Linked DNA regions of Oryzias latipes. The protein of the gene in region 1 purifies or fractionates together with the protein of each later gene. This does not show direct contact. Links are inferred from orthologs where the notes say so. Each region holds a gene or a part of one and is shown on either strand. Other genes may lie near its edges. The genes, in order: akap1 and cAMP-dependent protein kinase catalytic subunit beta.

Region 1 (3,814 bases):
GTTATGGGACTGGGTCTTCAGCTGTCCTCTACAGAGCAGCACGGATGGCGTTTTGGGACAGAACTGTGCATTACGTTCCCCTTTTGTTCTTCCATCATTCAGTGTGTCATTGCTTCTTGTGATTGTGTGCAGGTGAAGTCCAAAAGAGTCTGACCCTCATTAACCTCTACCTCTGTGGTGTTTCTTATCTTTAGATCCGACTTTGTGACTCTACCATTTCAAGGTGCAGAGGTGCTGCTGGACAACATCGCCCCTCTCCCAGGTACCTTGCTGGTCACTTTAACTTTTTTCTTCAGTCAAATCTCTGAATTGGAGTCGGGACGTTCATATTCGATCCTTTTTCAAAGAAGTGGTGGCATTTTCTTTGGCTGCCTCAGCCTCGCCGTCTGCTGGTGGTTTTCCCAGCAGGCAGCTTGTTTTCTCGTGGAACCACCAGCTGTGTAACGTTTGTGATCTTCTCCATCAGGGGAGGACCGTTTCTCCTCAGAGGCCACGTCGGCCTTTGAGGAAATCACCAGAGGTGTGGCCCTGCTGGCACAGGTGAGACAAGCGCCCGACTGAAGCCTCACCAGACCGGCTTCATGTAACGGCCCGATCCTCTGCTCTGTGTGAAGGTATCCAACTATGACAACAACACGGGGCTGCCGCTGGTCCACCTGTGGAACATGCTTGGAGAAGAGGTATGGCTCCTTGAGGTGATGCTGAGAGCCCTCCCATAGAGGCAGAGAGCCATGTGTGGCTGTGCACACACGCCTAGCTCCTGCCTCCGTCCTCACAGGACCAATGCTCTGGTGGCCTGTAGCACCAGGCTAAATTTGAGTCTGAATGACTGAAGATATTTTAAGGTTGAGGAGAAAAGCGACATCAGTCTGACGAGGAGAGTTTGCAGCAGCTGCATCCAAATCCCCTCCGCTGCCACTTATTGTCAGGCAAACATTGTCCTGTTTCCTGACCTTTGGCCTCCAGCGGTAAATGTCAGCAGAGATCCTGAAGAAGGTCTTCCGGTCCGTGTGCAGAATGGGACTTTCCCACAGCTATATGCAGGGCGACAGTGGATAGATGAGCTCTCTATACGTTATCGATGGAGACCGATGGACTATTTAAAGCTGCAACATGGAAATATGGCATCCTGGACCATATAAAGTGTATAAAATAACCTCACCAGTCAGTTCAGTCCAGCTGTAACAGTTCCCATAGTTTTCAGGCTGTAAGGTACAGGAGGTGAGACAGTCAGAACACAACTGTTATCAGTGACTCCTGATTGTAAAGGGGTTCTTTGACAGCTTCTAGACCAGGAAGCACTTAACTGCATCCAGACATACGATGAAGACTACAGCATGTGTGCTTGTATGTCTGCATGTCTACAATTCTTCTGTCTCATCGGTGTTCAGTGTTGTGACCAGAAAGACTCCTGGAAGCGGACTTTACTTTCTCCTTTTGGAGAAGGGGCACGGCGTTTGCTCTAAAGGAGGTAATGGCGTCAGCAAAAGGGACACACTTCTGGGTCACGTCACACAGGAAAGATCCTCCTTTAGAAGGAGAATGAGACAGAACCCTGCCGTCTGTGACGTTCGGCAGAGGTTCTGGGATGCAGAGGATTACAGGAGCCATTCTTCTCACACAGCAGGCCGTCTGACGGACATGGTAAAGCTAGTTTTGGCTCGTCCAGGTACACGGAGGAACACTCCTGGATGAGCCCGGCTCCCCTGGTTCTGTGTTGTGTAGGTCTTATGCAGACCCCCGTCTGATGCTGTGCGTGTCCTGCAGGTGGTCTCCGTGAACCGGACGTTGGCGGAGCGCGGCCTGGCTGTTTGGGTGGACGGGTTCTGAACCGGGATGTGGTTCCAGTTCCACACACTCCTCCCGCTGCTTCCAGTGGTCACCAGAGAGGGTCCAGGCTGTCCTGAGGACCCGACCCCACTACCACTGGGTCTGAGAGGATTGTCTCTTTGTTTTTTGTTTTTTTGTTTTCTCCCCCCTCCCCACTTATTCTTTGGAAAAGAAATTAAACTTTGTTTTCGGGCAGAACCTGCCGAGGCCGCTCTCCCTTGTTGTTCACAAACACTAAGAAAAAGGGACGAGGTCGTTTTTACAAAAAACTCTATTGTAACATAATAAAGGATGGTCAAATATTTTTTTAGCCCCCGTCCTGCGCTCATGTTTGCTCTGGGCCTTTGCACACTGTGACCCTCCCCCCTCAGCCCTGACTGTACTGGCTGTAGTGGGCCAGGTTGGTTCTGAGCTGAAACTTGGCTGTTGGGTGGAAGTTCTGCTGCCCTGAACGGGTCTGATGCACATCTTCAGAGGAAGGACAGCACAGACAGGCCTGGGGGTGGGGGGGTGTCACACTTGGACCCATCAATGAGCAGGCTGATCAGAACCACAATGACCTGCTGTTGTGACTTTTAGGCAGATGAAGGACTTCAGTCATTACTACATTGTGCAACCTCAGGGTATCCAGCAGAGGGCGGGGCCACAAACGCCACCTGCACAGGTGATAGTAGAAGAAAACAGCTTTAAGGGATCATGTCTGTCAGAGGCATTTCATTTACCAGAATCCGAGAGGAACCTAACCGCACCTAGTTTGTATGAATTGAAGTGTGGCTTTTGATCTGCAGAAGGAATCATGAACCAAAATATCCCAGAGTCCTTTCCTTCTGCCCCTCCATCCTTTCCCAGCTTTGACTCTGGTTTGCACACTTTAGTGTTGTTCCTCTGGTTTTAGCTCCGTTGGCAGCATCTGTATCCATTCAGTCAAGACACGGATGTTTAAAGTCAGAAGACGGCATCATCTGCAAACATGACAATCTCATTTTCATCCAGACGTCTGGATCTGGGACTTTTCACATTAGTCAGGTCTTCATTCCTCACAATAAATGCATTCTAGTAGTTGTAGTTTTCATCTGTCATATCAATCCCGATCCTGTCCTTGTCTCGCTCCGTCTCTGCAGCGTGTCTTTGCCTTCCGTTCTCTACAGTGCTTCATTTTCTTTCCAACTCATCAGATAGTTATTTGCCCTCCATGTGGGGTTGAAGTTCACACTCATCACACCGTTGATGCCCCCATTCAAATGGTTCCTGCTGATGGGGGCAGGAGGGCAGCTTTCTGACCCGTCTCTGGTTAGGGGAGGGGCATCCATGGACCTGTTTCAGGGCAGCTGAACTTTTACTGAAAAAACATTGGAGATCAGCTCCTCGCTTTGACCGCCACTGGGGTCTTTTGTCTCACCTCCAGCCCTAAACCCAGAGCCACACCCACCTTGTGATAAGCCCTACCCCTTCTTTGTAAATAAACCACTGACTGAACTTTTCTATGACAAAGTGCTCTAAAGGGAACTGAGTTTTGCTTCGGCTTGAGCCCCCCGCCCCCATGTCTGTCCTCCAGCTGATGCTGTCGGGTGTCGTGTGGCCCCACGACGTCTGCCCGGTTATTTAAGTGGCTGTAAGCAGGAGTGCCCCAAGGCGTCTGCTGTGTACAGTTGAGATTTTGTTAGTCCTCGGCTGCTTTGTGGATTGTACAGATGTACTAGGAAAGAATAAAGCTATTCAAAGACTAGTGTGCATCTTTGTGGTGTGTGTATGTGGGGGGGGGGGGGGTACCACCACCGCCACATTTATCATAACACGTTTACAATACAACAATAGCAAATGTCAGCTCCACGTCAGTCTCTGGATCAGTTGGAGTGACCGCTGATGTAGTTCATAGTGGGCTTTAGCGTCTACACTCATTTGATTTGTGTTGGGCTGTAAACTGGGAGAACCTGTTATCTGTTTTTATCCGTAAATACTAAAGAGACTTTATATTTAAATAAAA
Region 2 (4,410 bases), on another chromosome or scaffold:
AAACCTAAGACATGCATATCAGATCAGATTGAAGAGATAAATTCTGCAAAACACATATGTAAAACCACACATCCTGTCAGACCTGTAAAACGTTTTCGTCCACTCTTTTACCAACAACACATGCAATGTTGCAATGAAAAAAATGAAATGAGGATAAATAAAATATGTAAAACATTGAAAACAGTCATCCCTCGTTTATCGCAGGAGTTATGCTCTAAAAACACCCACGAGAGGTCAAATCCACAAAGTAGTCAACTTTATTTTTTAGCTATAATTCTAGATGTTTTAAGGCTATAAACCCCCATTGTAGAAAAATGAATCCAGTATTAAAGAAAGAAACTAAAGATCTGCTAGAGATTGGAGATTTTTGCAAATCTTGCAAGCTGAACGCATTCTGTATAGAAGAAACATCACAGAGATTGATTGATAATCGTCTACAGCCAATCAGGATACAATGTGCTGTAAAAAGAAAAAGAATGCAAAATTGCACTAAAAAGCTGGAAAAAAAACAGCGAGACCACGAAAAATGAACCGCGATATATAGCGAGGGACCACTGTGCAGATTTTAAAAACGATAAACATGAACGTAGACGATTATCTACTCTCTGACAGGAAACAGCACTTCTTAATATGTGTCAAGCTTTTGACCAATTCAAGTGACAGGAATGAGGGAACGTGATTCTCACGTCACAATTTAAAATCCATAGGTAGTTTAAAATATTGCTGACATTTTTTAAAAGCAAATAAACATATTTCATCTATAGGAACCGGGGGGTGACATCAGTGTAACAGAAAAACACACCAAAAAATATGTTCAGTGGTCCGCTTGGTCTTTTATTTTTAAGGAAAAGTGGGTCTGGGTTCTTCTGGGTTAAAAGAAAAAGTAAATTGTTTAATGAGTTTTGTTTACTTTTCCTGTCAAACCAGAAAAACACAGAAACACGGGTACTGTGAAAGGCCATCGGTGTCATGGCGGCACAAGTTAAACCTTGCTGTCCATCCGTGACTGCGCTGATGATCTAACTGTTGCAGCCACTGACCTTAGTGTACAGTAAACACCAGGCGCTGTAGGTTACCTGGTTGTTTGTCGGGAGCAGCTACGCTAGAAACAAATCTGCCAGTCAGGGCACCGTGTCATCTTAAAACAGGTTTAACAGTTAGCCGCCGCACAAGATACGGGGATCACAGGTGCGTTTAAAAGAAAAAGAGTCCCGATTCCATCACTAATCTGATCATCTCTGTCTCCGGAGAGGCTGCTGGTTGGATTCTTGGTTCAAGCATTTTAAGCAGAGTCACAGCAAAACCTTGATCTTTTATCAAAAATATGAAGAAGAAGAAAAAAATCTGTGAAAAAGAAGAGGTGCTTTCCATCGTATTCGTACGTTTGTGGTCATCAGAAAACACAATAAATCTCAACAACTTTCACGGTTTACGACCAGGTATGAGGAAACAGTTCTGATTTACTACTGTGGTGTTCAATGATGATCAGCTGCACACATCAGACTATATGAGCGTAAAGTAACACTGGCCCAGGTCCAGTTACGTCAAACCTTTCAAAGCTTGTAATACCCCCTTATCCTCTGACGAAGGTCCGATGACAAGCTGCTCCAGTCAATGACAAGCCGAGTGTGAGAAGTGAGCCCTGATGGACCTTCACCACGGCAAGATTAGAGAAGAGCTTCAACACAAACACAAGTGGGGGGGGGGTTCGATGGTGTTGGGTTTTTGTTTTTCTTCTTCTTAAGCGTGTGCACACATCTGCCACAAAGGCAGTAGTAAGCCCCCGTTTTATGAATGGAAAGAAGGGATTTGTCATTTCTTCACCATATTTGGTCATGGCGCTGTACAGAGGGAATGTTTTGTTTATGCGCCTAAGAATAAAACGTGGCACTGAAGCCAGAGGGGGGGGGGGGGGGGGGGGCAGTTGCTCACCGACTTCAAAGTGAACCGCAACGCCCGTTTACTCCAATTAGTCACGGCTCTTGGGCTTCATTTAAAGTTAAGTTTTACTGGAGATTCGAGATCCAAATTTCTGTTCAACAGCTGGCTCTGTGCTGATGATGATGATGATGATGGTGGCGGTGAGCCCGCAGCCAAAAGGCACAGCGAAAGCCACATCCCCCTGCTGTCAGGCAGAGACAGAAGCCCGGGATGACACAACGCGAAGGTGATGATGCCTTCAATGTAAACACGGCCAACCAAACGGCCTCAGGCCGGACACAGGAAATGACCGCACGCCGGGGCTAACGGTCTCGGCCCTAAATAGCTTCCAAGGGGGAACGAGGGGCCTTATGAGGGCTAATCCCCCCCCTTCAAAGCTAAAGTTAGCAAGCTAGCTCCTCTCCAGATTTCGTTACCGACTAGCAGCCAACACAAACTTTCAATTATAACATTTTGGGTATTCATTAAGATTCATATCTTTCGGGAGCGTCTTTTTTTAGCAGCGTGTTTTTTACTTCGTCTCTCTGCTTCTCTCTTCCCCACTCCCGGGATGCAAGACAGCAACACAGTCTCGGGGTTTCCAACAACTTACTAATTCTTTAAATACTGTGATTTCAATAATGTGCAAAAAAACAACAACATTTTTTTTCACGCCATGAGAAGGGACGGGTTCGCGCAGAGATGGCAGATAACGGAGGAATGAAGTCGGGTTAGCGGCCGGCCCTCACCGCCTCTACAGCGGTTTCCAGCAAACGAGCGCGTCGCCGCTGTAAAAAAAGTGTCACCGGCGTCTCTGATGGTGGATGCTAGCGGAACACGGCGGCCCGCTCCCGGCGCACACTCACCGCTCTCCAGCTCGTTGCCCTTCTTGGCTGTGGCGGCGTTCCCCATGGTGTGGAAGACACGGCGGCCGCTCCGACTTAGAGGAGGAGATGGCGGCGGCGACGGCGGTGCAGGCTAGCTAACCTCCCTTCCACTTGATGATTCGGAGGTCTTGGCGTTTCCTCCGGTGAAACGGACAAACCACTCTCGCTTTCTACTGGAAATGAGGGGAGGTGATGTCTGGAGTCCCTTCCGGCGGTCCCCGCGCGCGCCCTCTCCCGCTCCTCCTTCCCCGTGAACGGTTTCCGCTGCTGCTACTCGGCTGCTGCCTGCTCGGCTGGCATGGAGCTAGCGGTCACTGGTGTTTGTGTGACTAAGCTGCTCCCCGGCCCTCAGCTGCCTTCACGGTGGGCTCGGATTGGCTCCACGAGTCGGTGACAAGATGCTAATCCGGGCTTGCTTCCGCATTTTTAGACTCGTACTTTGCAGTTGCTTTACTTTTATTTGAGACATTTTATTAAGAATCCAACTTCAATCTGGAATTTCATACCAAATTACATTTTCTCCAAATTAGGTGGCATAAACTTTCTTTTATTCTGTAACTATAATGTACAAAAGATCCCAATTAAGCTTTCTTGCTTCCATAAACAAATGTTACTTTCCTTGTCACTTATTTACAAACACCATTGTTTTCCACATAGATACGACATATGGAACAATAAAGACATTACATATAGACCTAAATCTTTATTTTATCCATCATGGTTTAATCAAAACATCCTTTTGGTCCATCAGCTGTTTAATTCAAACGGATCTTTGATGTCACATGAAGAATTCTGCTTCAATTATTCCATCAAAATACCAAAAACTGAGTTTAACATTGTTTTGACAGCAATTCTTAAATCTATTACTATGTTATTCAAAAGCTCATCATTGCAGAGTCCAACTTTATTACCAATTGATTCAACTAAAATAGAAATAGGCCAAATTTGTTTTTCTTCTTCACGTAACACAAATCACCGTATACGCTCACTCTTCCAGAAGGATGTTGTTTCCATTCCCTACGTAGTTTCTTTTTGGAATAATTTAGTTTGTCATTTAGAATGGAAAAAGATCTGGAAAGCGAAATACTTTTTAACCAATAAAGTGAAAGAAATCTCATTCAAACTGATCCAAAAATTCTATCCATCCAAACTATATCTGCAAAGGTTCAAAGAAAATATTGATGTTGCCTGCTCTTTCTGTCAAGAACACCCTGAAGATGTTGTACATTTATTTTGGTCATGTCTCTTTTCCACCACTCTCTGGTCTAAAGTTTGTCATTTCATTTCCGCCCACATTGACCGTGACTTTCGCCTGTACTTAGAAAATGTTATGTTTGGCCTCACCCACTGTCCATCTCATAAAAAAGAACAATTGTACATCATTAACCTTTTGTTGTTTTTATGCAAATGGCACATTCATAAATCAAAAGTTACGAATCATACCCCTCATTTCTCAAACTTTATCAATGAGTTCAAACAATACATTAACACAATAAGAAACTCTGACAATTAGAAAGCCATCAAAACATTTGGTCTGTGTGTCAGTTCCAATATATCTGCGTAAAATGAAACAATAACCCCCTGGCTTGTTCTTTCGTTGTTG

The links.
Region 2: the proteins of akap1 (region 1) and cAMP-dependent protein kinase catalytic subunit beta purify together in Homo sapiens (affinity purification with mass spectrometry; 4 studies listed by BioGRID and IntAct, counting the BioPlex papers as one, with this or other methods). This does not show direct contact. The link is inferred for Oryzias latipes from reciprocal best matches to the Homo sapiens genes AKAP1 and PRKACB.

The regions. Positions count from the first base shown.
Region 1 is NC_019871.2:30,776,727-30,780,540, forward strand, and holds the end of akap1 (A-kinase anchor protein 1, mitochondrial), read left to right. Parts: intron 1-194; coding exon 195-262; intron 263-466; coding exon 467-540; intron 541-614; coding exon 615-680; intron 681-1,767; coding exon 1,768-1,830; 3' UTR 1,831-3,556; downstream 3,557-3,814.
Region 2 is NC_019875.2:26,776,204-26,780,613, forward strand, and holds the start of cAMP-dependent protein kinase catalytic subunit beta, read right to left. Parts: upstream 3,077-4,410; 5' UTR 2,833-3,076; coding exon 2,787-2,832; intron 1-2,786. UniProt on the Homo sapiens protein: Mediates cAMP-dependent signaling triggered by receptor binding to GPCRs.